4 linked regions of the Callithrix jacchus genome follow. The protein of the gene in region 1 interacts with the protein of each later gene in a pairwise test. Links are inferred from orthologs where the notes say so. Each region holds a gene or a part of one and is shown in the gene's direction. Other genes may lie near its edges. The genes, in order: PRKG1, LMO2, FAM124A and IRAG1.

Evidence for each region.
Region 2: the proteins of PRKG1 (region 1) and LMO2 interact in binary tests that used the Homo sapiens proteins (3 or more experiments, as listed by UniProt). The two-hybrid records come from large-scale screens. The link is inferred for Callithrix jacchus from reciprocal best matches to the Homo sapiens genes PRKG1 and LMO2.
Region 3: the proteins of PRKG1 (region 1) and FAM124A interact in binary tests that used the Homo sapiens proteins (3 or more experiments, as listed by UniProt). The two-hybrid records come from large-scale screens. The link is inferred for Callithrix jacchus from reciprocal best matches to the Homo sapiens genes PRKG1 and FAM124A.
Region 4: the proteins of PRKG1 (region 1) and IRAG1 interact in a two-hybrid assay, tested with the Homo sapiens proteins (2 studies listed by BioGRID). The link is inferred for Callithrix jacchus from reciprocal best matches to the Homo sapiens genes PRKG1 and IRAG1.

What each region holds. Positions count from the first base shown.
Region 1 is NC_133513.1:77,905,191-77,913,191, reverse strand, and holds part of PRKG1 (cGMP-dependent protein kinase 1), read left to right. Parts: intron 1-1,197; coding exon 1,198-1,320; intron 1,321-1,403; coding exon 1,404-1,466; intron 1,467-2,705; coding exon 2,706-2,772; intron 2,773-4,192; coding exon 4,193-4,291; 3' UTR 4,292-8,001. UniProt on the Homo sapiens protein: Serine/threonine protein kinase that acts as a key mediator of the nitric oxide (NO)/cGMP signaling pathway. GMP binding activates PRKG1, which phosphorylates serines and threonines on many cellular proteins.
Region 2 is NC_133511.1:99,236,562-99,244,562, reverse strand, and holds part of LMO2 (rhombotin-2), read left to right. Parts: intron 1-4,180; coding exon 4,181-4,396; intron 4,397-8,001. UniProt on the Homo sapiens protein: Acts with TAL1/SCL to regulate red blood cell development. Also acts with LDB1 to maintain erythroid precursors in an immature state.
Region 3 is NC_133502.1:64,723,543-64,732,172, reverse strand, and holds the start of FAM124A (protein FAM124A), read left to right. Parts: upstream 1-2,963; 5' UTR 2,964-3,101; coding exon 3,102-3,169; intron 3,170-8,630.
Region 4 is NC_133511.1:76,422,608-76,430,513, reverse strand, and holds part of IRAG1 (inositol 1,4,5-triphosphate receptor associated 1), read left to right. Parts: intron 1-10; coding exon 11-130; intron 131-1,696; coding exon 1,697-1,831; intron 1,832-5,752; coding exon 5,753-5,996; 3' UTR 5,997-7,906.

The sequences.
Region 1 (8,001 bases):
TCAGATTTCTCCCCCAAAGACACACAAAAACTGTATTAAAGAGAATAACTAATTTTCAAAGAAATCATTTGTCAAGGTGTACCATCATCTCCCTTCTAAACTGTGAGAAATATGAAGAAAAGACCTCACTTTAGTCATCTTTGTACTCACTGAAGTTGCCACAAACTACACTTCAAGGATGGATAGGTTAAAAAAAAATCAACAGATGTGCCTCATGAGGACTGAAGGGTTACATCCTTACCAACAAAGATAATGATTAGTGTTAAGTTATCTAATGAGGTCCTCTGTGCGGAGAGAAAATGATAGAAGGAGTACTATTCTACAGAAATATTAGATCAATAAATATTTACTGACCCCTTAGTATGTACGTGCTGTGAACACTACTCAACTCTGGGAATACCAGCAGAAAATAAACTATTCTGGAAGGGAAGACAGACATAACATAAATAACTACACAAATGAAAAGATAATTACAAAGTACAATAAGTGGCATAAGCGTGCTATGAAAGTGTAACAGGGACGAAAACTTTAAATTTGAGCATAAGATTAGATTGTTAGATTTTGTGGGTTGATAGAGGTTAATTGATTTTATTAGGTTGACCAGAGTAGGCCTTTTGGAGAAAACAACATAAAACTTACTTCACTGAGATTTGATAAAATGAGGCATTGGCCAGATATGTGGGGAGAACCTTTCAGGCCAGATAAATAACACCATGAGGTAGGAAAGCGCTGAGCATTTCAGTGGAACAGAGAGACACTGTTGTTTCTGGATCCAAGTGAGTGAGGGTGGTAATGGCATGAGGTGAGGGGGGGGGTAGTATCGTTGGTGTTCCTGTGGCCCCTCCTAATGACTTAGGACTTCATCTCAAGTATAATGAGTGAGTCAGTAAGTGTGGAAAAGGTCAGAGAGTGAAAGAAGCATCTTGAATGACCAAGGACAGCATGAGGGATTAGACTCCAGCAGTAAAAAGAAATCAGGGAACAGCAGATAAACTTGACCCATTTCTGGTTTTGCTAAGTGATTTACCTGGAAGGACTTCTACACTGTTTAGCTCTTAATCTACTTTCATTCCATTGTCACTATTAATGTAAGCCCCCAAATAAGAATTGATGTCATCGGTGGAGTTTATAGCAATTCAAGTGTTCTCATGTAGGAAATAAAAATAATAACTCTTGTCATGTCTCTCATTCTTGCAGCCCACCTTTCTCAGGCCCGGATCCTATGAAAACCTATAACATCATACTGAGGGGAATTGACATGATAGAATTTCCGAAGAAGATTGCCAAAAATGCTGCTAATTTAATTAAAAAACTATGCAGGTAAGTATCTCAACTACATTATCTTTGAAAAAAATCATAATGTGAAAAGATTAGATGTAATAAAACTATTATTTTATTTTTAGGGACAATCCATCAGAAAGATTAGGGAACTTGAAAAATGGAGTAAAAGACATTCAAAAGCACAAGTAAGTCTTCTTTCCTTATAACTTTAGGTTTCAGAGTTCCAAACACCTGACATCATTTTGCCAGGGTGTTACTTTTTAAGTTATTGGTGTAAAAACTAGTACAATTAGCATATAGGAACATCCAAAGACAGAATATAAACTTATTAGGCTTTTCCTTTCTAGTTGTTTCTGAAACTTAATTTTATTTACCTGACAACGCTGTGACATAAGAAACTGAATTCATTGAACTCAGTTTCTTGCAACTCATACCAACTAGCATTGTTTTTTCCTCTCTGGCACAAAGAAGAAATGTGTATTTTAAATTTGGAGATTCTATTCTCTACCACAGTATTACAAACAAAAGTCCCCTACTGTTATTGTACCTGATTTCCTAAACACAAAATATATTTTTCTAAGCATTTCCCAACTAGATGTCATAACAGCAGAATACAGTGTTTTTTAACCAATAGCAACATCTTAAATATCAGACCTTTCCTATATTGACTGGATGCTCTAAAGTTAAACTACTTGGTTTTTCTCTATTTGTGTAACACTGACAGAAAATTCACATCCTTATCAAAGAAACATGTTTACTAAAATATCTATGAATATCTGAAAGGCCTGCTAAGAATTTCTTGTAAGCATTTGCTAATGGTGAAACCTTTCAAAGACAAAAGAAAACAAACAGGCAAAAACATTAGTGTTTTTTGGTCTGTATTTCACAGAAAAAACTGTACACAAAATACCTTTATTCTTCATTTAAAAAGGGAAGAAAGGAGGAAAATGGAACATGTAGAGACCACTACAATGATGTGAAATGAAAAGGTTAACTAGCTGAGGCTGTGCACTGAGTCAGTGGCAAAAATGGAAAGTTCATTTTCTATCCTGACTTTTCGTGCCCTTGTTCTATCTCCTTAAAATAAAATACCCTGTAAAGCACAGGGCCAGACATATTATGACATTTATTAAATTATAATTATAGTATAGGAACAAGGTCATTAGAGACATTATGACTGAATTACAAGGAAAAATAGTTTCATGTTTAACTGGTATTTAAAATTGGACAGATATACTTTAAAAGTATGCATTTCACAAAATAAGCTAATTGGAAAAGATATGCAATTAAATAGAAAACATTTTGTCTCATGAAAACGTTTGCCTAACTGCTTTCCATTAGCCATGGACATTGTATACATTGCAATTAGAAGATTTTAGCTGACATATAACATCTTTAACTATCAACATTTTTTCCTTTTCTAGATGGTTTGAGGGCTTTAATTGGGAAGGCTTAAGAAAAGGTACCTTGACACCTCCTATAATACCAAGTGTAAGTAGATTTTACAGCTTATAATTGTATGAGACGCTTGGTGGTGTTTATGTCAGTCAACAATGATCTGTTATCTTTAAAGTTTCATCCTGTTATAAGGTTAAACAAACTATAGGAAAAATGTCACATTGAAATAATGACATTCTAAAATCCAAGCTTAAAAGCAGATACATTTGGGGATAGTCACTGTAAATATGTTTTGCTCTTATTTTTTTTAACTCTTCATTTTAATTCAAATTTCCTTCATTTATGAACATGTTAATTTTTAGTATCGAAAATGTTTAAAATCTAAAAACTGAGACAAAAGTTTATAGTGAGTTTACAGCAACCAGTTTCAGCAGCTATCAGTTTTGGACCAATGTTGTTTCATGTATGTCTTCACATAACTCCCTCCTGCCCTCCCCATGTTACATGGAAGCATACTCAGGCACAATGGTGTGTTTTTATCCTTCCTTCAGGTTCTAAAGTAAAAAAGTAGTTCTTTTTTCTTGACTCTCTTTTTTTAAAAAAAATCAAGTTTTTTGTTAAATAGTCTACTAAATTCACTGTTTATACTATATTAATTTAAAATAGATTTCAGCAGATTGCATTTATATTTTTACTCAGTATTGCATCTAGCTAATAAAATGTGCAGCATCTTTATTACGGGGGAGAGGACTACTTTGTGGTCCTGGGACTTTCATTTGTGTTTCCTCTCTCTAGGACTATTGCAAGACTGCTATTTGCACAGAAACATTTTCTCTATTCCATTTTTCTTTTGAGATTGGGTCTTGCTATGTTGCCCAGGATCCAGGATAGCCTCAAACTCCTGGGTTCAAGCAATTCTCTTGACTCAGCCTCCTGAGTAGCTGGGACCACAGGTGCACACCATGAACTTGGCTCTATTTTCCCTTCTTCTAAGATTTATTTCTATTCTAATATTTGTTTGTTTATAGACCAAAAAAAAGCATTACAGACAGGGTTTCAATGTGTTGGCCAGGCTCATCTCGAACTCCTGACCTCAGGTGGTCTCCCTGCCTTGTCCTCCCAAGTGTTGAGATTATAGGCATGAACCACTGCACCTGTCCTACATGATCACTTGTATACTTTCATGGCATCTCTTTTTCTTTTCATAGCTCTAGCCAAAGTTTATTATATAGAAAGATTTTTGTAATTATTTTTCATTGTATATAGATTTTTGAATTATATATAGATTTTGTGATTATTTGTTTTAATCATACAATGTATTACTTACCATGGGTATAAACTCTGTGAGGATAAAAACCATGTCTATTTGTACTCACCACTGAGACCCTCAATACCTGCTACATAGTAAGCACTCAAAAAAGTAGTCACTAATAGGGAATAAATACAGGATGTGCTTAAAAATTCCAGCAATTCCACACACACACACACAAAGTGCATTCTCTCCTATTTACAGGTTGCATCACCCACAGACACAAGCAATTTTGACAGTTTCCCTGAGGACAACGATGAACCACCACCTGATGACAACTCAGGATGGGACATAGACTTCTAATGTATTTCTCTTACCTGCTTCTGCCTTGCTGAAGACAGCTTTTTCTGAGACACAGCTGCCAGCAAACCTGAAGGAAAGAGAGAAGATTAGTGCTCGGGGTCACCATGATGCCTTTGATCGATGCTGCTCCGGTAACTACAGTGGCATTAGGACTTTTGCTTAGATGACAATAGTGCTCTTTACATGTTTTCTGTTCGAACCTAAAATAGCAGTTGACATGGTGGTCCTGAAGCAAAGCCTTTCACCAGTAAAGAGATGTTTTCTATTGTTGCAATGACCTTGCTTTGCTCTGATTATAATTTGAAAGACTGTAGGAAACACTTCAATCTAGTAGAAGAGTCTGTACCTTGGTAGAATATTCAAGAAGATGAAAGAATAATATATTGGGTACGATAGATTACTATGGTACAGAAACTAGGCTATTCCCTTTCTTCAAGTGAAGGCTGTGGGATCTATTACTGCAGGCCGGTGTATATACCATTCAAAAGAGGACCACACATCTGTTGGTCACAGAGCTCATGTCACACTAGTGCTAGAAGTTTCATGATTTTATTTCCCAGCAGTGCTGATGACAAGACTGAATGTTACCCTTTCTTTCTGACAGAATTTAAAAATTGATATGATAAAAGCACAACTGCTATAGATTCTGCTGAGACCTCTCATAGTAGGTACATATGCGTTTTCACAGAGGACTGAAAAACAATGCATGATATTTGGGTTTTTTTTTTTTTTTTTGATAAATTGGCATGACAGAGTGGGGAAAAAAAGCAGTTCACAAAACCATTTCATATTTTTAAAAATACTGTGCTTAAAAATGGTCCTGGAAGTAAATGACTAGCAGCCAATTGGTTTTACCTAACATACCCTCAAACTGAGGCTTAAAGTATTCCCTTTTATAAAAATAACCCCTCGGGGTGGGGTGGACAGGGGAGGGATTAAAACCCATCCAAAAAATAAATAAAAGCTATATAGGTGCTATGTATATCTTTCATCTGTAAATGTCAGTGTCTGAACAGACAACACAAATTCAAATCATTATATGTGTAGCCAGAAACTCAAGCATTTTCACTGAAGTTATTAAACCAAACTCCTGTCCAATTTCACTCATACAACATTGTCAGTCTGGAGTTGAGAGACAACGGTGATTATAAACCTATTTGAACTAGCTTTTTGTCTTAGGCCTGAACCAAAAACAAACAAACAAAAAATTAAAAAAAAATAAAACAAGAAGGAAAAACAAAAATAAAAGAAGTAGGAAAGACAAAAAAAGAAAGCCCAAAGTCAAAGTTATTAAGATTTACAGCTTTACCAAGCCAGGAACGTCACTTCTGTGAGGTCAGAGAACAAAACAAAAACCTGGCCAGGTGCTGATTACCTTTTTGTGAATAGGCTGAGTCCACCCACTTCTCCAAGTAAGAAAGCAGTACAGAGGAAAACAGGAACCTGATTTTTAAAAAAATAAATTTTAAGTAGGACAGAATTACTACAGTTCTATGATTTCACACTACCTAGAACAAACTAGATTTGAAAATGTCAAACTAATTTACTTTATTCACGTGGAGAAAAGAATCTGCAAATTAAACTGAGTCCATCCCTGGCAGGCCGGTTGATTATTATTAGCTTTAATAAGTAACTCAGCCATTTGGAAGCTCTTCCTGGACAAAACTGCATTATACCTATGAGGAAAAATATAAAACATTTAAAGCTGTCATTCTGTTTTGGCACAGTGTGTGAATTTGGTATATTAAATTGAGGCTTGCTCTTTTCTCAGTAGAGGTTTCTTTTTAATCAATCAAATGTCAACACTTCTGCAAGAATAAGTCCAATTAGATCACTATACCTTAACTAAGAGGGCATATATTATAAATTTTGTTTGATTTTTCAAACCCAAAACTACCTTAGAATATGATATCTTATGAAAATATAATATTCTTAAAAATGTGGAGGATAAAATGAAAAGGGAATAAACTTCAATTAAAACTTCAATCCTAAAATGTTATTGTTATTCTTGTTTTTCTGGAGTTTTCCCTCCCTTATAATTTCTCCAAATTAGTCTATTTCCCAAGATATCCACTGTTTTCTACATATTTTAGAATATAAAACTAAATATAACCTAAAATCCAGCAATGTATGTTATTACAGTTTTATATTTTTTTAATTGGCCTTTTTGACATACATAATTCCAACATTATAGTCAATGTTCAGTAATTTTTGTTGAAAGATAATGTGGCTTAGGCATGCTAAAGACTTGCTAGGATATTGAATTTACCTTGTTATTTGGAAAGACTCTGCTTCTGCAACTTTTCAAAAATCCCCAAAGTCCCAAAGATTAGCACTTATTGTGGATTTTGGAACTATGGTTCAAGTCTAAGACAACCAATATAAATAAGTTCAGTGGAGAAGGAAGAAGTAGCATTCAGCACAATGTAACTGTAGACTGTTTTCCCACTTGTTACTGCATCTTTGTTCATTTCACCCATAGCATTGCATTAGGTGTCTGAAGCAATCACCACAAAACAAAGGTAAACTACATTTTCCACAATGTACCAACAGAAAACATTCATCTGATTTTCAGCATTGAATTTTTAGGATATAAATCTTGTCTTAATGAAGACTCTAGGGCTAAAATTCATGGTCAGTTCCATAAAGTGCATCTCCCTTTATTTCTGAATTTTTCATAACCCCTCTATTTTCTTACACTAAAGAACATCTGGATAAGTTAGAATAGTGCCAACTTGTTTGATTTGTTAAATGATTTTCTTGTTAATGTGTTGAGTATGGGAAATAAGGGCTTTCTGTGTGTCTTTGACTCACAGGAAAACTGAAATTGTCAAGGCAAGCAACATGAAAATAACTGAGGTAGATTGAATACATTCGAAAAAATAATTTCTGAAATAATGCTATACATGATTTTTATGTTTGTATCTTCTTTCTTACCAAGATATGAATCAGATCCATATGGCATTCAAAACAAATTTATTTTGATTATATTCTTTACAAGTAATACTTGTTACCTAAAATTGTGGAATATGCATGTGAATTACACATGTGTAATAATATATCAACTTAACTATTGAATTTTTCCTGTTTGATTTTTAAACGACTGAACTGATGGTAAACAAATTTAATGAAGTCAGCTACCATACTGGAAACAAGGATATTAGAACTGATTTCACACAATAGAAGTGATCTGTGCATTATCCATAACATTTTCTTTCACAATAGGACCACAGACAAATATTATGTAAATAGATATTTTTGTGTGATATTTTGTGGTACATATAACTTTTTTTAGTGTTTCACAGCATTATTATTTCATTTTATTTGTACTGAATAATGTTTTTAGGTCCAAGTAGACTTGAATTAATGTCATAATTGTCAGTATTATTGAAAATTATGTCAATTGTACTGTTATTCATCTGTCCATAGTTTAGCACATGACCTGGCTATCTGGCATTGTTGCAAGTGCCTTAAATTCATGGCATCCTATTAAAAAAACAAATTTGGTGTTATGCTGCATGACAAAGACAAACACACCTCAAAATGTTGTCCTTTCTTAGCTTGCTGCGTTTTACAGTTCTTTCTGCTAACAATTTATAAGCCTTTATTATATAATATTGATGAATTACAGAAATGATGAAGTTGTTCTCTTATTTCTGTTAAATGTACCAGAGCTGTGTATCTGTTAATGAGATACAGCGTCATTTCTG
Region 2 (8,001 bases), on another chromosome or scaffold:
AAGATATCATTTTCCTGTCAACGCAAATGCCATTTTAAGAGTCATTAGCTGTCTGGTTTTGAGAATTTTTATTCCTTTGAAGTCCCCATCTAATCCTTTGAAGGGATTTGTTACACAAGACCAAAGGAGCTGGTTAATGACTTGTCCATTTGTGCTTTTAAGAGACATTTGTTTTGTTTTGTCTTTTCCTGCTTTAAAAGAATTGTGCTTTCCTGCTTGAAATACCGCACGCACACACACATACACACGCACGCACACACATACACCCCCTTCAATTTCGGCTATGGTGTTTATTTACCTGGGTTTTACCCTCCGTTACCAGCATAAAAGCTCAGCATGTTCTCATAAAACGCAGGAAGTACCACCATCCAATGAGAATATAAACATCACTATTCAGTCTTGAAGGTTAATACACCAGTTCTATAATGAGCTAGGTTTGTTGTAGCAAAAACCCCCACTTCCTTCAACAAATTCTCAGAAGAAAAATAACATTCCTTTTTAAAAGTATGTTTATGCAAACAATGGGTTTAAAGGGTGGTTTGATCACGTTTTTAAATAAACTTAACAATTACAACCGAGCTCTGAGTTTCAGAGACTGGGCAAGATCACACAATAAGGAAGTGACTTGGATGAATTGGTGCCTAATGCCTTTTTGATCAGTAGAATTTTGTCACTAATCCTTTCAATAGAAGATAAATCTGAAGGTTTCAGTTCCCTGAAGGAAGTTTGCTTCTTTCAAAGTTTGTGCTTTCTCACTGAGGATATAAAACTGAAACATCCTAACTTCCTAACAGGCAGGTATCGACTGCTGGAGGCTCACCAGCTCTTTCCTTCACTTCACTATTTGCCCAATGAAGACAGGTTCTAATCAAAAAGGCACAAGCTGGTTGAGAAATTGCTGCAGTGCATTCTCCCCACCCCCTTAGAAATTGTTATGAAATTATCCCAGAAATCCGGGCTGAAGTGATATTCAGGTATAATATTCAAGATAGGCTCTGGGAGAATATAAAATATTAATTTGAGGGTGAATCAATCTCATTCAGTCATTGTCTTGGATTGTCCACTAAGTATAATGTGATATTATCATTAATTAATTATAGAAAGACAGAGCCAATATCTTACACTTTACTTCTCCATCTCATCTCAGGCCGTCACCATAACTCATTTACTTTACGTTCCTCCTGTGGTCCAGTATCCTACTAGATTCTTCATTGTGTACTTCCTCAAAGCCAACTTGGGTTATTACAGTCAGCATCTCCAAATTACAGATGGAGACTTGCCTAGCTATATGCAAATGAAACATTTGGACAGAAAGCCAGCCAGAATTCATGAACACAGAGATTCCCTTGCTATGCCATTGCTGGCCCCCGCTGCCTCCCGTGAGTACCAAGAGCAGTTCATTTGAATTCCAGGCAGTTTTGCACCAGCTAAGGGCAAATTCTCCTCTTTCACAGTCCTTTGGCAGCATCCAATGTAGTCAAGGTTCCATGAGTGGTTTGGAAAGCCCAGAGTAAGACCATGGGCTGTGGAAAGAGAAGAGATGCAATTCCCAGTTGATACACGTGAAAAAGCCAGGGTATTAGTTATTAGAAGGGAGAATGGTAGTCCTTATATACAATCTGTAGAAACAAGGGAAAGAAAGCAAGCCTTCAGTGAATTCTTAAAACTACAGTCACCAGGCGCGGTGGCTCACGCCTGTAATCCCAGCACTTTGGGAGGCCGAGGCGGGTGGATCACGAGGTCAAGAGATCAAGACCATCCTGGTCAACATGGTGAAACCCCGTCTCTACTAAAAATACAAAAAAATTAACTGGGCATGGTGGCGCATGCCTGTAATCCCAGCTACTTAGGAGGCTGAGACAGGAGAATTGCCTGAGCCCAGGAGGCGGAGGTTGCAGTGAGCTGAGATCATGCCATTGCACTCCAGCCTGGGTAACAAGAGCGAAACTCTGTCTCAAAAATAAATAAATAAATAAGTAAATAAATAAATGCAGTCCTGATTTTTTTTTGAGCTAAGGTCTCACTGTATTGTCTTGCCTAGAATGCAGTGCTCACTGTAGCCTCATCCTTCTGGGTTCAGGTGATCCTCCCACCTCAGCCTCCTGGGAGGCTGGGATTACAGGCTCATGCCACCAAGCTTGGGCAATTCTTTATGTTTTTTGTAGAGTCAGGGTTTTGCCATGTTGCCCAGGCTGGCCTCAAACTGCTGGGCTCAAGTGATCCTCCTGCCTTGGCCTCCCAAAGTGCTGGGATTACAAGTGTGAGCCTCTGTGCCTGGCCATTTTTTTCCCCCCAGATAAACTAGCTTGAACTTTACATTTACTTGTTCTAAAGATGATAATCTCATGAAGTCCAGTTACACTGTATCTACAAAGTGTGGACATGGCTTTGGTACTCCTAAATATTCATAGGGAGTACTTCATACTTTGCATGACAGAATCACCTCAAGTTGTCAGAGTATTATAGACATTGAGCCACCTGAGTCTCCTGTCTCCAAATATAATGGCTGCTGGGCTTTTTGGATACAGACTAATTAGGACACAAGGTCACCTGGTAAGTTAGTGCCAGTTAGAAATAGGAGACACAGGCCGGGCCCTGTGGCTCACACCTGTAATCTCAGCATTTTGGGAGGCCAAGGCGGTTGGATCACAAGGTCAAGAGTTTGACACCAGTCTGGACAACATAGCGAAACCTCATCTCTACTAAAAATACAAAAATTAGCTGGCTGTGGTGGCAGGCACCTGTAATTTCAGCTACTCAGGAGGTTGAGGCAGGAGAATCTCTTGAACCCCAGGAGTGGAGGCTGCAGTAAGCTGAGATCCTGCCACTGCACTCCAGCCTGAGCAACAAGAGCGAAACTCAAAGAAAGAAAGAAAAAAAGAAAGAGAGAGAGAAAGGAAGGAAGGAAGGAAGGGAGGAAGGGAGAAAGGGAGGGAGACACAGATTTATACCTGCAGTGTATCCAGGAAGAAAGTCCTTTACAGTTGGAAGAAAGTCCATTTTTTTGAAACATAATAGATTTTTAAGAAACAGATTTGTGTTTAAGTAAGGTTCCAGAGAACATTTGCTAATTATTACAAATAAGTAAGTATTAAGTGTTTCCCATGTCCCATTTGGGGGACACTAGAATCATTCCTTCCATTCCTTCATTTTCTTTTGGCAAAGTTATTGACTTTTAAATGTAAAAGAGTATTGAGATTCCAGTGAAGCCAAGTAGGCAGGAGATACTATGCATGGCATGTTAACGAAAAACACACGCCACAGCCTACTAACGACTGCTGGTTTGAGATGTCACTGTCTGTTTAAATGCGTTCTATTCTCTGAAATAATCATTGCCCCCTCTTCATTTTCTTCCTTAAATCAACTTCATCCAAATCAGTTTTACTAATATAAAAATGTTCAGGTGAGGAAGGACAGGCCTATTTGATGTTCTTCATAAATATAACAACGGCCTTACAGTCTGGGGTTTTCCTCCAAGAATTCCTTCAGTAGAAAGAATCGAAAATGGAATATCTGTAAAAAATAAAATAAAATTAGGAGAATTCCTATTATATTCTGAAGGAATTTTTAATTTGGCAAGAGAAAGCAACCTAAAATAATTTTTGGTCTCATTCTTCTTCCTCACCTCTGCTTTTGAGCGGTTGGAAGGGCTGGAGGGGCATGGAAATGTATTAAATGGGGTTTGCAGATTCTTAGCACTCTGGGTCATCGGCTGCCCTGGTGGTGAGTGACTCTTTGAGTCCAGAGTGCCTCCTCTGAGGTTAGGCAGTGCCCTTGGGTCCAGGATATAGGAGGAGAAAACCAAGGGAGCTCTGTGAAGATAGAGAGGGAAGGTCAGCGGGGAGAGTGAGAAAGAGCAGAAGGAGACCAGAGGTGCCCAGGTGGTGCTGGGCATGGGCTGGGGCACAGTGCCACCTGCAGTTGCCTTTCATGCCTCTTGGTGCCCTGTGGTTACTTCTTAGAGATCTAGGGCATAAGGTCTAGCTCTCTCCTGTCTTACCCCGGGTGGGCTGGGTCTCTGCAGTCAGTCTGGCCAATGGATATATTGTACCGTCCCTTCTCCCTTAGGTCACCAACAGGCAGTCAGATGAGGTGCCCTGTCTGGCCCAAACTAATCTCGGCCCCTCGGTGCTGGTCTCCCTCTGGTGAGGTTGTCCCTGATGCTTGGCCTTCTCTCCAGGGAACCAGTGGATGAGGTGCTGCAGATCCCCCCGTCCCTGCTGACATGCGGCGGCTGCCAGCAGAACATTGGGGACCGCTACTTCCTGAAAGCCATCGACCAGTACTGGCATGAGGACTGCCTGAGCTGCGACCTCTGTGGCTGCCGGCTGGGCGAGGTGGGGCGGCGCCTCTACTACAAACTGGGCCGGAAGCTCTGCCGGAGAGACTATCTCAGGTACCCTCCCTGGCACCCCTCTGCAGCCCTTGGGGGGGAGGCTGGGTGGTCATGGACATCTGCAGTCTGTGCATGTTGCCCTGACCCTGCTCCAGGCTCAGACACCACCTATACAGTGAGGTCAGGCTGCAGAGGCTGTCTTAGCTCCCGTGCTGAGAAGCAGTGAGCATTTCTTCCTGTTTGAGAATCATGTTCTCAGGGTTATGTTCCTATGTGGTAAAATACTAATATCTTTAAAGGCAAGAGAATTGTACACACAAAATTTGGAAGTGTGGTTCCCTCAGGGAGTGGAAGAGGCCAGGGGATAGGGCTGAGGAGGAGTATGCACAGAGGATCCTAGGCACTGGGGGTGTTTCTAAGGTTGGAGTTGGGCTCTGAGGGGCTCATTTGAATGCTTCAGAACACACACACACACACGCGACAAATATTCTTTTGTATGACTGCAGTATTACATGATGAGAAATTTAAAAATAGAAGCATATGGAGCCCCAAGCATTGACTCATAGCAGGAAGGCAGTCTTCAAAGGGCATAAGGGCAAAGGCCCTGCAGTCAGTTGGAAGTTCGAGCCCCAACACCGTTGCTTCCCAGCTTGGTGGCCTTGGGCAAGTGACTTAACCTCCCTAAGCCTCAATTTCCTCATCTGTAAGCTGGGGATGATAGGACCACCTAGCTCTGCAGACATAGGGAGGATTTGATGAAATAGTGCAGATAAACGGCTTGGCTTGGTATGGATCAAATAGGTGTTAGCTGCTCTTATAACTTATCCTTGTGACATAATCATTATTTTCAAATCTAATGAGCAAAGGGATGGAAGAATGGAAGGGTAAAATAGGAATTTGACAATGTCAAGTAAGACAGGAGCTGAGGGCCAGGGGCAGTGGCTCATGCCTGTAATCTCAGCACTTTGGGAGGCCAAGGTGGGTGGATCATGAGGTCAGGAGATTGAGTCCATCATGGCTAACATGGTGAAACCCCATCTCTACTAAAAATACAAAAAGTTAGCCAGGTGTGGTGGCACGCACCTGTAATCCCAGCTACTCAGGAGGCTAAAGCAGGAGAATCACTTGAACCTGGGAGGCGGAGGTTGCGGTGAGCCGAGATTGCACTACTGCACTCCAGCATGGGCCACAGAGCAAGACTCTGTCTCAAAAAAAAAAAGACAGGAGCTGAGGACATCTCCCATGCTCTGGGCCATCCTATTGGCCATCCGAATTGTCCAGCACTCTGTGAATGCCTTTGCCTAGAATGTATTAGCATTTCTAGTTTCCTATGAGCTGCAGTGAAGGTAACTCTCTGTGCCCGCTACTGTCAGATCTGCTCAGCTGTGTAGCTGTCAGTATGTCTCCGTCTTCCTGGAGCAGAGGCTGTGTGAAGCATGCTTCCCTGACACATCAGGACCATCCAACCCATGGAAGCTTGTTGAGATCTTAGCGCCCTTGGCTACTGGGCCAGCTTTTCCTCCCAAACCTGCCCTCGGAGCATTTTACGTCACAGAAACAGAAACCAAACCAAACCAAAAAACTGCAGGTAGTTTCACAGTGAAGGAAGCTTATTCATTTACCTGAAGACTGATGGAATAAGCTTTTCCCCTTCTCGAATTCCCAGATAAAGTCCTTGTAGATATGGTGGTTCCAAGAAAATAAGTAGGGTTTTTCAATGATCATATTTATAATTGTGGTCAGTTTCCTTTGTTTTTAAGTCACAAAGAATAGAACTGGGATAAATAGAAACCTGGTTTTGCTCACTCCCAGTTTGCCAAGTCAGTGAGGAGGCAGACGAGGCGGATAAATGATTCCCATCGGACCCTTGACTCCATCCCTGTCAAATCATTTGAATCTTATTAAATGAAGTGCAGATAGAGTAAGGTCAGAGGAGCCCGGCTTCTCCCTATCTCTACCGTTTTATATAACACTCAAGAATAAAACCAGTGCTGCCTGGGCTTGTTAATCCTTTCTATTTTCAAAAAGGAGAGGAAAAAAAAAAACAGCCTGGAAGAACCCAATGTTAATTAACTTTTGTCTTGGTGACATGAAATAATTCTTCTCCTGCCATATTCCTAGACAACATGTTAATTAACTCTGTGTTAGTGCGGGCATTTCCAGCCATCCTTTAATATTTATATTATTGTTATTAAAATGGGCAGCAGAGAGCTTAAAATGGGACACCTCTTGACCGAGGAGAAAAATTGTCTTTTGCTTCAGAGATGGTCCTTTAGCCATGGTCTTGTTTACTTGGATTCTTAGTATATCTGGCAGGAGCTAATTTATTTTATTTTCTTTTGAGACGGAGTTTCGCTCTTGTTGCCCAGGCTGGAGTGCAATGGCGTAATCTCGGCTCACCGCAACCTCTGCCTCCCGGGTTTAAGTGATTCTCCTACCACAGTCTTCCTAGTAGCTGGGATTACAGGCACCTGCCACCACATCCAGCTAATCTTTTTGTATTTTTAGTAGAGATGGGATTTCTCCATGTTGATCAGACTGGTCTCGAACTCCCGACCTCAGGTGATCCGGCAGGAGCTTTTAACAAGGCAAGTTGGAAGAGTGGCTGAACAGACCCTCTTCTGGGGTTGAGTTCTTCACCCCAGGATAATTTGTCCCCTTGAGGATTTCCAGTGGCTGAGTTGCATGTTACAGTTCTTTTCAGACATCAACTTCAAATATTCATGAGGCCCCTGTGCAGAACCTCAACTCTGCCACCGTATTCTATTGTTGGGAACCGCAGAGCAGCTGTTCATGTCTGTGCTGAGCCAGATCTCCTTGGATCCCTTTTCACCAGTTTGTATGCTGGGAGAGGTGGGCTGGTGGTGATGGCAGTGGTTTTACTTCTAACAGCCAGCACCTGCATCTGTTAGAGCTAGAAGTGTGCCTGCCCCGACTAGACCCCCAGCAGACCTTAACCAATGACAAACGTGGTGGGAGTACCAAGCCCTGCAGCCTTGCCTGAAGCCAGGCATAACTTATATTCCAGGGTCCCTCCCCTCCGAGGGACTTTGCCTGAAGTTGCAACTTGGCCTGGCTTCATTCCCTTTCCTCCAGCCTCCCCTGCTGCCTTCTAGGTTTTTCCTGAGAATGCATCATTCATAAAGCACTTGCACATAAATCCTTGCCTTGGGGGCTGCTTCTGGGATATCCAGCCTAAGATACCAATTCTTGGTGCCGGAAGTTAATGCTCAAGTTAGGCGTTGAGTCCTGGTTGATTTTTTACTCATATTAGAATCTCAGCCTCCCAGAGCTGGAAGGGGCTGCAGGGGGCTACTCTTTCAGTTCCCTTGCTTTACAGCTTAAGTCACAGAAGCCTGTCCAGGGGATGCCATTTGCTCAGGTCACCTGGCCAGTTAGAGGTGATGCTCAGACCTGAACTTGTCTCCCACATACTCATCCTTTGTCCTTCCCTTCATTAGCTGCCCTATGTGGATTGTAATTTACCCCCTGACTTCCCTTTAATAAGCTCCCTTCTTCCGTAAGGATCACACACCCCAGGCAGTTGGATTCATTCCATGCACACTGTTTCCCAGTCATTCATCCTTGCTCAGGCCCAAACTTAACTTACTGAACAGAAACCAGAACTGTCTTTCCACTCTGTGACCTCCAATGTGGCGGTCACC
Region 3 (8,630 bases), on another chromosome or scaffold:
TAGCCTGGACAACAGAGCAAGACCCTGTCTCAAAACAAGCAAACAATGAAGTGAGACTATAAAACCCTGGGAAACTGAAGCAGAAGCCCCATGCATCACTAGAATACAGTGATACTGTTTAAGTTTCTCTTCCATATAATAAATGCATCACTGAGTTGCCATTAGACAGCTACGCCACTGATGAATGATAACACTTGTGTCGCCTGTGGGCGAAGGGAACCTGAATCAATGCATCATTTTGAGATGTGGCTCGGGGTTTTGGTCTGGCCTGCCCTTTCTCTGGATATTTGAGAAAGGCAGAAATCAGTAAATAGCAACTCATTTTCCAAAGCTCATCTTCTAAAAGTCATGCTGATTTCCTCCTTTCTTCCTGACCTTTTTCTTAGTACCATCTTCCTGAGGATTCAAATGGCCCATTAGTCAGCCTTCTAGGTAAGTGACACAGACTCCAGCCACCTTAAGTGGACTACCTGGCTTTCCTACTCACTGATAGTGTGTCCTGGGACAAGGCACTTGAACTCAGTAGGGTTTAGTTTCCTTGACTGTAAAATAGAAAATAACTCTACTTCACAGCACTTCCCTGAGGATCAAATGAGGTACAGTTTGAATTGTTCCCACACACAGGTTCCCTCATGGCTGTAGGATAAAAAATGGTGGAATGTTTATTTTGCTTACCTACTTGGCCATTTGTATTACTCCTTTTAGTTTGGATTCATTGACAGTCTTTATCTATTTTCCAAATACACTATAATGGCCTACTGGTGACTTTCCAGAGGTGACACTTCGGTCAAACATCTTGTTACCGTCTTTGCAATTTTACATAGCTCTAGTCACCCAACTTGCCATCACTTCCCCTCTAAATGCTCAGGGCCCCATCCTGCCTCACACCTGCCTCACCCTCTCTCCTCCTGGAGCACCTCTTCACCCCTTAACTTGCACTAGGGCTGCTTCCCTGTCACTCACTCAACACACGCCCATTGCTCCAGGGGCCATTCCAGGTGTTAGGGACACAGCAAGAACAAAAAGCACTCTGTCTCTGCTCTGATGAATCTGACATTAGGGGTAGGGGTGGGAAGGAAAGAGCAGGTGACTAGTAAATAAATCTATCATCTGCCAGCTCCTGGTAGAGTGCTAAGAAATAGAATTGGGATAGGCCTCACATGGTGGCTCATGCCTATAATCCCAGCCCTTTGGGAGGCTGAGGCAGGTAGATCATGAGGTCAGGAGTTTGAGATCAACCTGGCCAACATGATGAAACGCTGTCTCTACTAAAAACACAAAAATTAGCTGGGCATGGTTGTGTGTGCCTTTAATCCCAGCTACTCAGGAGGCTGAGGCAGGAGGATTGTTTGAACCTGGGAGGTGGAGGTTGCAGTGAGCGAAGATCACACCACTGCACTCCGGCCTGGGTGACAGAGCAAAACTCTGTGTCGAAAAAAAAAAAGAAAGAAAGAAAGAAAAGAAAAGAAATAGAGTCGAGTAAGAGGATACTGTGATGTAGGATTAGCCAGGGAGGCCTCCCTGATGAGGGGCCATTTGAACCGAGAACAGAAGGAAATGTGGAGGGAGTCTTGCAGAAAATCTGGGAGAAAATATCCCAGAAAGAAGGAACAGGAAGTGCAAAGGCCCTGAGGCAGAAGAGGGCTCATGTATCCCTTCCTAAGAGAGCTTTCCCTGCTCTCTCACAATTTGAATTATGTTCTTTCTTTCTTGGGCACATATTCTTTTCCTCCATGGTGGTTTGTCTCCATTTTATTATACACATATAATAATAATAAATATATACACACACATATGCACAGAATTGTTTAATTCTCTCTCCTCTGGAATGTAAGAGCCATGAAGGCAAGGATCGCACCTGTTGCTGTTTTCTCTCATTTGTATATGCAGAGTTCACCCTCCCGTTTGGCATTTAGTTACTGAATGAATCAGTACATTAAAAATGGATCATTAATGGCATTGTGCAATATATCACTCACGATGTTCCTCTCCCCACTTGAGAATTTTCTTTTAGAAATCAGTGGATGGGCAGAGAAATCTCCCCTGAAGAACTGGCACGCTTCTTTCTTTCAGCTAATGAGCACAAATATGCCCATTGTCGTTTGGGGTGCAAGGAATTTTAGGCTCAGTAAGGACAGTTCCTCCCAATGGCTTGGACAGGGCTGTCAGAACTAAATTCAAGTTGTTCAGATTCTCCTCCTGCCACCCCTGCAACTTGCCTCCCTCTTTACCCTCCTAATAGGAGGTGAGCCCTTCCAATCACGATCATTAACTGACCCTGAGGTTATCCCCTTGCTGCAGCAATCCGTGAATTGCAAGTTCATTCAATGCTCTTTAGATTATTTTTAAAGGCATTTTTTTTTTTTTTTTTAAGTAGCAAAAGAACGCATGACACCTACTGTAAACCGGCAAGTAGGGTGGTGGGATGCCACTCAGTCCTGTGCTGAGAAAGGTGATAATGAATTTGGTGTCGGCAATTCTTCAGAAACTGTAAGAAAACGCCCAGGTGTTCAAAGTGGTCCCAAAAAGGAAACAAATCGTTCCAGCTTTCACGATGCCTGGGGTTGATTTTCTCAATGCTCCTCCCAGATCAGGAGCTGGGGAACCTCGGGGCAAGCCCTGGGGCTAGGGATTCCTGGACTGTGGGACTGGGCCAGAGAAGAGGCTCTCGTGTGCACAATCACCCCGCCCCCCACAACACACACGCGGTCAGCACAGCCACAGGCGCGTGGAAGCGTGAGTGCACATCGGACCACATCCACAGATGCACGCGACATCACACACCTCGGCCACTCACGCGCACACGCTATCCCCCTCCCCGCGCTCGCACACCGCTCGCGCGCACCCGCACACCGCTCGCGCGCACCCGCGGGTCCCGCCGGGCGGCGAGGGGCGGGGCGGGCGCGGCCGCGGGTGCCCCGCCAGGCGCTGCCGGGAGAGGGCGCGGCGCGGGGTTCGCGGCTGTCTTTCGAGTTGTTTGCTGGCTCCCCGGCAGCTAGACGCTCGGAGGGAACCCGGCCGGCTAGTGCTGGGCGGCCGGGAGGGAGCGCGCCCCGGGTCACTACGGCGCTCGCGACCCGAGCGCGGCCGGGACGGGCATCATGGACCCGAAGGCGGGCGGCGGCGGCGAGGAGGACGACTGCGTGGACTCGGGCGCGGAGACTGGAGGGTGAGCCGCGCGGGGCCGGGCCGCGAGCGGGGGGCGCTCTCCGAGTTACACGGCGGCTCCTCCCCAGCCGAGGACCCTCTAGATCCCCGCGGCGGGATGGCATGTGGGGCTTCCCCTCCTGTGGGATTCCCCCGTTCCCTCCTGGACTGGCCGAGCGATCCCTGGCTGCCCCGAGTGGAGCGGGGCGGGGCGGGCCCCACCTTAGGGGAGGAAAGTGAGGAGACTCAAGGTTCAGGGGCAAGCCCAGCCATCCCGTGAGGCGATGCGGAGCGCCTGGTGGATGCAACGACCCCTTTTCAGCATCAATAGGGTCAGGAAATGCTCTTGCACTTGTTTCCTCCCCACCTCGGGGACTTTCCTCCTGTAGCTCCGGAGCCCCCTGGAGTCGGGCCCTGGAGATGGGGAGAGGAGGAAAAGCAAGGTAGGACACCCGCACCTAAAAGTCTTTCCGAAGTCGGCTAGGAGGATGGCATTTCTCGTTTTATGGCTTTATCGTGGGACTTTAATCTGTGCTGCCGAGTCCCCCTCCTCGACTGCTCCAGTCCCGCCGAACTTCCTCACCTCTAAGTGCACCTGTCCCAGCCCGAACCGCTGGCCTGTGGTACCGGCGGGATGGAGATGGTGTTAGGATTTGGCACCGATTTTTTTTTTTTAATATTCTCTTCGATTCAGCGGACTCAAACAATGAACTCAAACCTTTGGAGACGAATTAGTTCTCTCTCAACAACACTGTTTTCCTGAGCTGAACAAAAGACAAATGCCTTTTAGGAGATGAATGTCGTTAGAAAGGCTTCCAGGCAGCCCCTATCTCTAGAGGACTTTCCGGTGCAGAGTCAGCACCACATCCAGGCCGCGGGTCCTGACCCCGGAGGAAAGGGTGTCTTTTCCTATTTGGAGTAATCCTGGGGGAGGGCAGGAGCTGCCCAGACTACAGAAAGCCTCATTCCTGGAAGGTCGGAGAGGTTTTAGACTAATCTCAGGATTTGGCAACCCTGTGAGGGCAGGTAGAGAATCCAGGCCCACGATCAATCCAGAGTTCTAACCCAACCCCTGGGAAGCTCCCCATACAGCCCCTCCTGCCCCACCACTCCTAGCCCAAATGTGGGACTTTACTCTCTAGGGCATTCACCCAGAAATGGGCTTTCTCTGTTATCCAAGCTCATCCATAGTTCTCTACAGCACCCAATTATAATCTGGTGGAGTAACCTGATGCTAAATGCTAAACTCCCTTGCTTCTTCCCACACTTTGTGTAAGTGGCATTTATCAACTTTAATTGAAGATTCTTGGCTTTTTCTTCCTGCCACTAGTTAGCTGGACCATGAATAGAAGAAACAAAGCAAAATTAACCAGCTCATTTGTAGCTGTGTTAAAGCGTTCATTAGTCTGCTCATTTTCAATTTGCAGAGCTCACCTAAAACTGATATCTTTTTCAAGGGCTCTGTCTTAGAGAAGGGAGAGGAAGTCCTGACTCAGGGGGTGACGTGGCCCCAGGATCTGGACATCAGCATGACAGCTGCCAGGCCTCCTGGGAGGGGCTCACCAGCCCTGCTGACACCAGAGCTTCTGTTCTCAGTCTCTGTCACTAAAATGTGTAGTTGTAGCAGGACAGAATTGTTTAAAGAATTCTTATTGTATCACTACCATCTTTAAAGGAAAAATAGCATGCATTTAAATAAAATCGTTTCAATATATGCTTATTAGTCTTATTTGCCATCTATTCATAGGGCCCTTGAATTTCAATTATCAGAAAGCTGTTCATCGTTTTCTTTTCTGGAGCTTGCCCTGCATCCTTTACCTATCCAGCTTTCACAGAGATTGTGTAGAAAGCACATAGAATGCACTCAATAAGTGTTTGCCGTCGTTAGTTATTGTTTGTTGTGTTTTTGTTTTTTTTTTTTGAGACGGAGTTTTGCTCTTGTTGGCCAGGCTGGAGTGCAATGGCATGATCTCGGCTCACCACAATGTCTGCCTCCTGGGTTCAAGTGATTCTCCTGCCTCAGCCTCCTGAGTAGCTGGGGTTACAGGCAAGCACCACCATGCCCGGCTAATTTTGGATTTTTAATAGAGATGGGGTTTCTCCATTTGGTCAGACTGGTCTCAAACTGGTGTGAGCCACCTCACTTGGCCTATCATTTTTTAAAATGTACATCTGCTCATGTCTCTCTCCTTTTCAAACTTTTATGGCTCTGTCATCTACAAATGCAAGGAATTTAACATGTATATCCCAACTCCTGATACGGAGTCCCTTCTTCCCTCCCTGGCCTTGTTTCTCAGCAGGTCCTTCTTTGCGCCTTGTATCTAGCCACATCCAACAAGTTTTTCTATAGCCTTGCCTTTGTCAAGCTGCCCTCTTTGCCAGCTCTGCCCTTTCCACCTGGCATGCCTGTCTGCCAGGTGAAACTCTACTCTTCTTTCAAGACTCAGCTCAAGTGACACATCTGCTAAGGCAGTGATCCTTAATTTGGGGTCCATGAATTGCTTCAAGTTGTATGCAAAATGATGTGCCTGTGAATTTGTATGAGAAGACAACTAATTTTTTTTTATCAGATTCTCAAAGTAGCTGGTGATCTCTTCCAAACCAAGTTTGGCAAGATATGAGACATTTCATTTTCAGCACACTGTGTGTGTCTGAAGTGTTGTGAGACATCCAAGTAAAGATGATGAGTCAGCAGTTCGATATATCTGTCTGGAACTCAGAAGGGAGGTCTATATGACATTGCATTTGGAAACTACCTAAAAATGGCAATGGAAGCCCTGGGAGAGATTAAATCAACTGAAGTTAATAGCAAGCACGTGCTTAGCATTTACTCTGTCGCCTACTGTTCTAAGCCTTTATATATGGACCTCTCAAATCCTGCAACAACTCTGTGCAGCAGGTGCTCTTTAAGACCAGCCTTGAGAAACTACAACATTTAAATGGCCAGTCAATGATAATGAGCTGATAAAGGAGCCTAAGAAAGAGTAGACATGGAGTCAAAGAAAGAAGAATATATAAATCACTGAAGCCAAGGGAGGTCCGAGTTTTTGAGAAAGGAAGGAGAGATCAGCTATGCTACTGAGAAACTAACGAAGATGAGGAACATGAAGTGTATTTTAATGGAGATGATGAAGTGAAGGAAGAGTGATATTTGATAGTAGGGTGGTGGAGGCAGGAGTCAGATTAGAGTGGCTCTAGAAGGCAGTAGAAGGTGAAGAGAAGACAGATATTCCTTTGTTTGGAAAAAAAGAGGCAAAAATAGGCAGTAGCTAAAGGGGAGAGTGGGGTGAGGAAAGATTTCCTAAACACATGCACTAATTGAGCAATCAGTGTGATAGAAGGGATTCTATAGAAAGGGAAAGGAGGAGTAAAGATGATAAGCTGTAGTGTTGGCTGGCTGGCTGGCTGGCTTGTTAACCAGACAGGGTCTCTCTGTCACCCAGGCTGGAGTGCATTGGTGCAATCATGGCTCACTGCAACCTCAAACTCCAGGACTCAAGTGATCCTCCTGCCTCAGCCTCCTGAGTAGCTGGGATTACAGACCTGAGCCACCGACACCATGCCCAGCTAATTTTTTTTTTAATTTTTATAAACACAAGGTCCTGCTATGTTTTTCAGAAACTGTTTTAAACTCCTGGCCTCAAGCAATCCTTCCACCTTGGCCTCCCAAAGTACTAGGATGACAGATGTGAGCCACTGCTTCTGGCCCTGTAGTGTCAGTATTCTGAAAAAGTGGACTTCACAAAGGGGAATGGATGGCTTTAGGTAGGAGGCAGGACATCCCCTCCTGCAATTAGAAGGGCAGACAAGATGGGGTTTCTATTTGGTGTAAATACAGCCCTTCACCATCTGAGGAGAATGGAGATTCAAATAGTTGTTTGGGGCAATGTTGAATGGGTGCCCAGCTGAGATTTGCAATTATGTATTTACAGAGGTACAAGTTCCCTTTGTTATTTATTTTCCTGCAGCAATGCTCAACACCTAGGGTCAGGCAGAGAGAGATGGTGGGTAGTTAGGTTTATCAGAGTTTGGGGGAAGGGTGTGTGAACAAAACATCGAAACAAGGGCTTTCAGGGTATTGCTTAAGCTGATTATCCATCCGTTCAGCAGCATGAAGGAAGAAACAGTTCCGAGAAACTTCGTGAGTCCCACTGCCGGTGGGCAGGCCGGGCTGGTCCCTTTGAAAGTTACAGTCACAAGAGCCAGCCCTCTGGCATTCAAATTCTTGCTCCTCCACTTAGGGACCATGAAACCTTGATCCAGTGACTTAACCTCTCTCTGCTCTCAGTTTCCTCCTCTGTACAATGGGAATGATGATAGTAGTACCTACCTCCTAGGGTTGGTGTGAGGATTAAATGAGCCTATATATTTAAAGCCCCTAGAACTGTGCCTGTTCAGTGTCTAGAACCCTCAGTACATGATTATGTCTCACCATATTATTGTTATGAAGAACACTCCAATTGATAAACTTAGAGTTTTGTATAATAAAAATGGTAAACTCAAGAGCATATGTTCTTTAAGCTCATCACAATAGATGCTGTTGCTTTTAAATACTTTAATTAGATCATTTAGAACATCTGAGAGACTACAGGGCATGCCTCGGTATTCTAATAATTATATTTTACAGATGAGGAAGTGGAGACTTGGAGGGCACATGGTTTGTTAGAGGCATGAATTGAAGCCTGGGTCCCCAGTGTGCTTCCCATCTAGTGAAGTTGCCTCTCAAGGAGCTGTTTGATTTGTAATTAATTCTTGTTTTCTGCTCAGACATTTTCTTTTGCTTGAAATGCTGCTGTTGCTGTCTTACCCACCCAACACAGACCAAGGCTAAAAGCAAACTAGTATTTTTCTGGGGCAATTGATGTCATTTTGAAACTCCCATTTTCCAAATCCAATTGCAAGAAGCCTGTGCTCTTGTGTACTTTCTATTAACAAAAACTGGCAAGTCAGCTGCTGATGGTGGTAAACTATCTTAAATAGAATCCCTTAAATAGAAGGACAGGCAGTTCCTTGTAAACGCAAATAAAAGCCAATGCTTTATCATGACTGTTTCGTTAGTGATGTCTTCAAGATTTGGCATCTGAGCCACCCTTTCACCTGCGATGGATTATTTTCATTCAATAGTTTGGTCTGGCATTAATGAACTTCCACTTCCATCTCAGCTGTTGCTGAGCTTCTGAATGTATAGGGCCGTATCTTGCCCTGTTTCTTTGTAGGACCTCCAATTGATACTTCACTGTGATTTAAAACATAACGAACAAATCAGGGGTCTAGAGTTTTTAAATAGGTGGATGGAAAAGAATAGGTGGGGTGAATTTTTAGATGGGACAGGTCTTTCAAAAGGTGAAAGAGGAAATACTGTATAGAAGACCAGATTGTTTGTTAGTTCTTTGTTATCTTTGTGTTCAAGGTGGAGCTAGTTAACACTAAATTTAATTCAGTGCAATTAGGGTTATCAGATGAGGTTCATGATGCATTGAGCT
Region 4 (7,906 bases), on another chromosome or scaffold:
TTTTCACTAGTGGAAAGACAAATGGGGACCCAGATTGTGAAGTCTCTGCTCCTGCGCTGACCCTCAGCTGCCTGGAGGAGCTTAGTCAGGAGACCAAGGCCAGGATAAAGGAAGAAGCCTTCAGCAAGGGGTGAGTCAGACCTTGGCCACGCTGAGGGCACCTGGCAGGTCTCAGAAGATGCCTTCCCATGGGTCTTTCCTGTTTCTTAGAGGCGGTAGGGAACCAGCCAGTGGCCACAGGACCTCCTTGCTACAGGAAGGAACTGCATAGGAAGAGCAAGACTGTTCCACAGGAAGGACAGGAGGAAGCAGGGTCAGCGGGTGTGGTTAAATAGACGGCCCTCTTTTTAGGCAGAGAGCCACCAGAATGCCACTGCTCAGAATAGTCTGGAAATAGAGGCCCTGGGTGGGTCTTGGCGGTGCCTGAGGCTTCCTGACACGTGTTCAGAGCAGTCCTGCTGCTGCCAACAGTGCCCAGGAGCAGCTGCAGCTTTGCTTCCTAGAACTGCTTTGGTCACCCCTTCCTCCTACACACAGAATCTCTTCAACTTCCAGCTCTTCCTCCTCTGTAGCACCTATGGCCAGTTGTCAGCACTGGAGAGACCAAGCAAGTCTTGAGCAGGGGCCAAACCTCAAAGTAGAGGCTTACCTCTGACCATGTATGGCAGCCCGAGCATCTACTGTCCCCATAGCTCATGAGGGAGAAATAGTTTCCCACTGACACAGAACCCATGGGCTTCAGTGGTGGGTTTGCTCGACCAAATTGCTAGTGTTAGACACTCAGCAGAGGATAAGTGAACAGAGTGTGTTTGGGGTAATTTTGATCCTGGGGGAGAAAAACCACAAGGGTTTCTCTTGGAAAACCTGCGTTTTTCACCCACAACTGTGCTCTCTCCTTGGAATGCATGGGCATGAACTCCTTCATTGGTTTTGTAAACTTTTACTGACTACCTCTCTAGGTCAAGCCATGTGCCTGGCACTTCCGAAAAACATTCCAGGCCGGGCGCGGTGGCTCAAGCCTGTAATCCCAGCACTTTGGGAGGGCGAGGCAGGTGGATCACGAGGTCAAGAGATCAAGACCATCCTGGTCAACATGGTAAAACCCCATCTCTACTAAAAATGCAAAACATTAGCTGGGCGTGGTGGCGCGTGCCTGTAATCCCAGCTACTCAGGAGGCTGAGGCAGGAGAATTGCCTGAACCCAGGAGGCGGAGGTTGTGGCGAGCCGAGATCGTGCCATTGCACTCCAGCCTGGGTAACAAGAGCGAAACTCCGTCTCAAAAAATAAAAAAATAAAAAATAATTCCAATGCCCTGTGAGATGAGTGTCCCCCTCCCTCTTTCACAGATGAGAGGCTGAAGCTCCATGGTGACATGGAGAACAAATACAATCTTAGGCCTATGGAACGTTCTGTGGGATAAGAACCCAGTCAGGAGATCCTGCACTACATTTTTTCCTCATCAGTTTTGTCACACTGTCACATAAACAGGAAGGATGACTGAGGAGTGAGGGGAAATGGTACTGGCATGAGCTGCCTTGGGATTCAGTGGAGCTTCCCAGCTTTTTCCTGTTTTGTGGAACCACAGGAAGTGCATAATTATTGGAGGTGCTGCTCAAGCCCCCTCCCCTAGGAACTCAGGAAAGGATGCACTGCATCTGGCCTTTCCAGACTCAACTGTTCCTTTTTGTCCCCCAGATTCCAAGAAGGTCTAAAGAAGAACAAAGAACTTCAAGACCTGAAGGAGGAGGAGGAAGAACAGAAGGGTGAGAGTCCTGAGGAACCTGAAGAGGTAGAAGAAACTGAGGAAGAGGAAAAGGGCCCAAGAAGCAGGTGGGAAGCCTGTGTTTGGAGTCCTTGCTATTGCTGGAATGGGTTACAATTCACCTAATTTAAATGCACAAAATCCCTGGAAATGCCAGTCCAGGGCAGCAGTGAATCTGAGGCCTCAGTGAGTAGCCAAAGAAACCAAGAGGGCACTCATGTTGGGAGGGGAGTAGAGGAAATCCCAAAGAGCCGAGATCACTAGCAATCAGAAGTTTGCAAGAGCTTGAGAGGTCGGGGCAGTCATGGGGAGGGAAGATGACAATCAAGAGCTCCTGGAGCTAAGGATGGGCAAAGGGCCCTGAGTGGAGTCCCTCCCAGCCCAGGCATAGTTAGCTCATTTCCCAGATGAAATGATGGGTAGCCATCCCCATGAGAGGGCCAAGACCAAGGGAGCTGACTTAAAGCTCTGGAGTTGGTTTTTTACAAGAACAGGAACTGGGAGGACACGCAGAGCAGAGGGCAAACTCAGCTCAGTGACAAGGTGAGTCTCCAACAGGTGCCTACCATGCTGACCAATCAAGCTTGGTCATCCAGAGAGTGTCTTCACTTTAGGCTAGAAATATTTGGGGTTTTCTTTTAGAATACTTTCTATTTCAAAGGTACTTTCCCCTAAGTTGGGGGAGGAGAATAGAACATGTAGATAAAGAGAATATAGACCTATATCTTGTCCCACTTGTGGTTTCTGCCTGGCCTTTAGGATGCAGAATCGTAGAAATGATCTCATTTAGTTCCAGGGCACTTCATGCAATGAAATATTATGGGAATGAGGTCTCAGCCCCACCAGGCCTGAATATCCTCCAGAAGTACATGCTTAGGGATAGGATAAACTAGCACCCATAGAAGAGGAGTACTCTACCGCATAGATATAATGATCATGCCAACATTCTGGATTTTCAGGACAGCCCAATTTCATATATTTAACTATGTTGTCTCTATTAGTATATTTAAACCACAAGTCTTGGATTTTGATTATTTTAAATGTAGTTATAGCCACCTTAGAAAACCTTCACCAAAATCCTTGTTTTTTAGACCCCTGGGATATCTTGGGGTCCAGGGCAGTTCCAGACAAAATATCTAATCAGCTGCTGAAATATTATCTAATCAGTGTATATATCTGTGCCTCGTTGCTGGAGAACTCTGGAAACCACATAATTGCAACAAACAGGTAATGAAGTGAAGACTAGAATCAAAATGGATAGGCACATAGGAGCTACCAATACAGCCCAGTTAGTGGAGGATTCAACTAAAGTGAGAGGTCTCACTGAGAGAGGTCTCAGCCCATGCTGGTCAACCCCATTGTTCAAGGGAAGAGCTGTTAGGAGAACTGGAGAAATGCTTCTCCACTGAAAACAAGCCTGTGCTAGTACCCACTGCCTCCCCAATGAAAGAACCTCCAAGTTTAACAATTAAAGCACAATCCCTACTCCAGACAACCAGATCCTTTTCTTAGGCCTCACCACTGTCCTGAGGCTTCTCCGCTCAAATTTCTCAGGCCAACACATTGCCTTCCTCCCCTTGAATGCAGTCAAGTGAAGCCCTGGACAAAAAGCACTTCCTCTGGCACCCCTGAATACAGCTGAGACAGGCTAGAACTTCTAACACTTCCAAACACTGCGAAAGAACAAAAAATAAATAAACAGAGAGAGTACATGGAATATAAACAGTCTGGATTGCAAAGCAAGGGCCTCGATGCTTTATCTAGCTAATTCGATCTCAGGCAATTGCCAGCTCCCTCCCATTTCATGAAACCCAGGAGAAGTAAGGCTTAGCTTGGTCCCTTTCTGTCCAGCTCCTGGTCATCAGTGTGTGGCAATGGTACCTGTAACGTTTATCACGCACCATCTCTCAAACATGATTCTCGCCTGAAATATTGGTACCTCACTAACAAGCAAGGTTTGAAATTATTAAAAGTTCCATGTCCTACTTAGTGCATTTTTAAAACATTGGGTTCAGCCCAGCTGCTGACTACTTAAGAGATTCAACCTCACACATTAAAGTCTTTTTGTCTGAGTCACTTATCTGTTATATATAACAATTTATGTTACAAATATGGCTCTCTTGAGGATCAGTTTAAATAAACTTTGGGTGAACCCCAATATCTTAATTATATTAAAACAGAGAACACAGTCTTCTGACATTGAACAAGTGAGACTCATAGGGGCAAGCTAAAACTTTTGTCTTTTCTCCCAACGCCTTTTAAAACCTGCTCTGTGGGGTTAAGATGACATTTACCCCATTCTGTTTCCAATAACTCTCAGGAAACAGAAGTTTACTTATAACAACCAAAAATTGACTTCCAAAGAAATTCTATTTCTAATCTATTTCTAACCTCTTTTATAGGCTAGGCACCGGTGACCAGCTAAGGTCACACAGCCAGACCTTGGCCTCCTCCTTTGGAGCTGCACTTAAGAGTGGAGTTAGAGTAGGGAGAAGCCACTCTAGCAGCTTGTTTTAAAGGATGGAAATATAGCCCCAAAGGTTCCATTTTAGCATTCAACTCTATCTAAATAGAACCTAAAGAATCTAAAAAGGGCTGAAAGAAAATACACTTCCACTTCTAAACTCTCCCTTCCCAACAGTTGTGAAAATAGCCAGTGATTTTCAAATCAGCGAATGTGCTCACTTTTGTGCTTTTCTTAATTGTGATTGAAACGATCTGATGGGATTCCCGCGTGGAAGAGAAACCTGTCAATGTTCCCTGTGGCCTTAGCATCCAAGGAAGGCACTCTGAGCATCTGGACCATTTCTAAGGAGGGTATTTATTGAGTTTTTCAATCCATTGCAAGTCACACATTTTCTACTCGTTCTAAATTTGAGCTCTCTGCTTTTCAGCCAATGGCTTGGTCATTGGAGTGTGCGTGTGAGCCTCAGGATCTTCCGAAACCACTTCTATAATTTTCCCCACCTCCTTGGTTTAGGAATCCTCGGTATTCTCATTTTTCATATTTTTAAAATTACAGATTAAGAGCAGCAGAAAATCCTAGCTTATGAAGGGGTTCAGGGCTTCTTCAGAGAGCTCTAGAATGGACTTGCCAAAGGAGGCCATCTGCCCAATGTCTTTTCACTATGTCAGAGAGAGAGATGACAAATTGAAAGACAGTTGGGAAGGAAGCAAAAACAAAAAGGGGCAAAAATGGAGAGGAAGAGAGAGATGAAAGAAAGAAGAAAGGAGTATGGAGAGAGTGAAGGAAGAAAAAGGAAGAGAGAGAAATTAGATAATAAATATTAATGATGTTGAGATAACATCATCAACAAATCACCCAGAGATTGCTAGAGGCTGCTAGTCTTCTGCCTGCTCTTGGATGGTTTGAAGTGACCTCCTGAGGTTGATCTAGTCCCTTGTCATTTATCACAGAATATCAAGCTTCTTATGAGTTTAGCACAGTCCTTCCTCTCCGAACACAGTTAGATGTGGAACTGAGAACAATGAATTATGCATCTGAGGCAAGGGACAGGTTAGAGCTTGGAACTGATCACTAATACAGCTAAGTGCTAAAAAGATGCACAGTCCCGTGATGGTCTGGATGCATGAGAGTATGGATCAGCCAATCCTGTAGCCCTGGGCTTGGGAGAGTGTAGATATCAGTAATCACCCTGTGAATAGGTGAGGGCATGTGTGGATGGTTGATCAAACAAGTAAGTAGAATGATCTAGTCAAGTAGCTTTCAACATCAAGGCTGTAGACTGGTGGAATCAAAATCACCTGGGAAAATTTAGCCAATGATTCCTAGACCATAACTTTGTATATTCCTATTCAGTGTGCTTGGGGCATTTTGAACAATTGCTGCCAACCCAATCTAGGCACAGCTGAGTTTGAGAACTAGTGCTCAAGACAGCATGGAAGCTATCCCCAGAGAGAACTATGGGTCTGTGTATCATATGCGTGCCCAGTATACTAAAGCCTCTGCCTATTTTTTTCATTGACAGCAAACTTGAAGAATTGGTCCATTTCTTACAAGTCATGTATCCCAAACTGTGTCAGCACTGGCAAGTGATCTGGATGATGGCTGCAGTGATGCTGGTCTTGACTGTTGTCCTAGGGCTCTACAATTCCTATAACTCTTGTGCAGAGCAGGCTGATGGGCCCGTTGGACGATCCACTTGCTCAGCAGGCCAGAGGGACTCCTGGTGGAGCTCAGGACTCCAGCATGAGCAGCCTACAGAGCAGTAGGAAACCTCACACCTAGCCAGTGCCCTGCTCTGAGACACTCAGACTACCACCCTTTCCCCAAGTATAATGTCAGGCCCAGGTGTGGACATGCTGCCACCCATCCCATCAGGTCGTGAGGAAGGGTTTCTTTAACACTCGGCACTTCTGTGGGAGCTATTGATACACAGTGAGTTGCTATTCTTGGAGGATCAACGAAACTGCCCTGGGAAAGCATCCAGTGGATAAAGAAGTCACCTTCACCAAGGAACTCTATTGGAAGGGAAGGTCTCCTGCCCCTAGCTCAAATGGCTGGGGAGAACTAAAACATCTTCACTGGTGGTTGGGGGTAGGGAGCGGGGCACAGGGAAGAAGGAGGCAGGGGGCAGTAAAAAGCTTACTCTCTTTTTTCCTCTCTGTAATTGGTTATCAGGGAGAATTTGCTTAATGACTAATACCCTAAGGATCAGACCTGGAATTTGGAGTTGCAAAATGACTATCATTCCCATTTCCCATCTCATTTTCAATTTCTTCAGCCTCCCATCCTCTCCTTTGGAATGAGAGTTTCTTTTTACAGAAGTAGTAAAGGCTTCTTAGAAAAAAAAAAGTATAAGCTGAATTTAGCTCAGTGCTTGAAATGGGAAGATATGAATTATTATATATGCATCTGTCCACACACACAGTTGTGTATACACATACATACAACGTGCATGTGCACAGAGCCAACAACCCTTCAAAAGCGTGCTCTGGGTGTATGCCTCTGGATAAATAAGATGCATGCCAACCCAACCCACCCACAGATTTTTACTAGGCATGGGGCAGTCACCAGGCACCTGCTCAGTGAGCTGTCCACATGGATTGAAGATGTCTGAAAAACACTGAAAACTTATGGCTTCAATGGCAGACTTACTAGTCTGCATTTCAAATGCTGACTCTGAGCTGCTGTACAGCACCATCTATTCCCTATTATCTCTTTGAAAACAGTTAACCCACCTCACGGGCGAATGAGGAGAGAAGATGTGCTTTCTGCTTCAGTCTCTTATCGTGTGTGTGACCACATGCAAGGGTAAACTTGCATTTTAGTGCTTCAGTTCCAACAGGATTTCCAACCTAAGTATAATTGGGGATGTTTCAGAGCATCACCAGTTATTTAGCACAAAACTGAAGGAGCACTTCCCCTCTCCATTTTGACTTCTCTCCCCACTTTTATAGCCACTGCCTTCATTCAGCCCTCATCAGTTTTGTAGGGATGTTGATTTCCATGTGGGTTTTGTTGTCATTGTTTTGCATTTTTGTTTTGTTATTGATATTGTTTGCTTTCATTGCTAAAACTCATATACAACTTACTATGAGCCAAGTGCTGTTCTCAGTATTATGTAGGTGTTAATTCATTTACGTCCTGAAGAAAAAGAAAAAATATATGAAGTGGATACCACCCTTCCCATTTTCAAATAAGGAAGCTGAAGCACAAAAAGAACAAATAACTTGACAAGCGCACCCAGCTAGTAAATCATGGGGCTGGAACTCAACCCCAGGGTAGACTGGCCCCAGAGCTGTGCTGTCCTTGACTCTTCGATGGTCTCCTAGCTGGAAGCCTCACATTCCAGTCTCACTCCCCCAAGCGGCTCATCAGCTCCATCTCTGGCTCCCAAACTAAAGTTTCTCTCGTAGCTCTGGGCCTTCACTCACTGGTTTTTCGCCAGCTGTTCTTCCCTTTTCTTTAGGTCACTCTTCTTGACCAAGTACAAAAATTATCCCTCCACCAGCTTTGATGACCTTCCTTCCATACTCCTCACCAGACACAGCATAATAGGTCACACCTTCCTCTGTGTTTTCTGGCACTTTTTAAACATTTTTATTATTGACCTTTACCTATAATATATCACAGCCTATTTATGTATCTGTCTCCGCTAGCATTTTTCCTCAAAGACAAG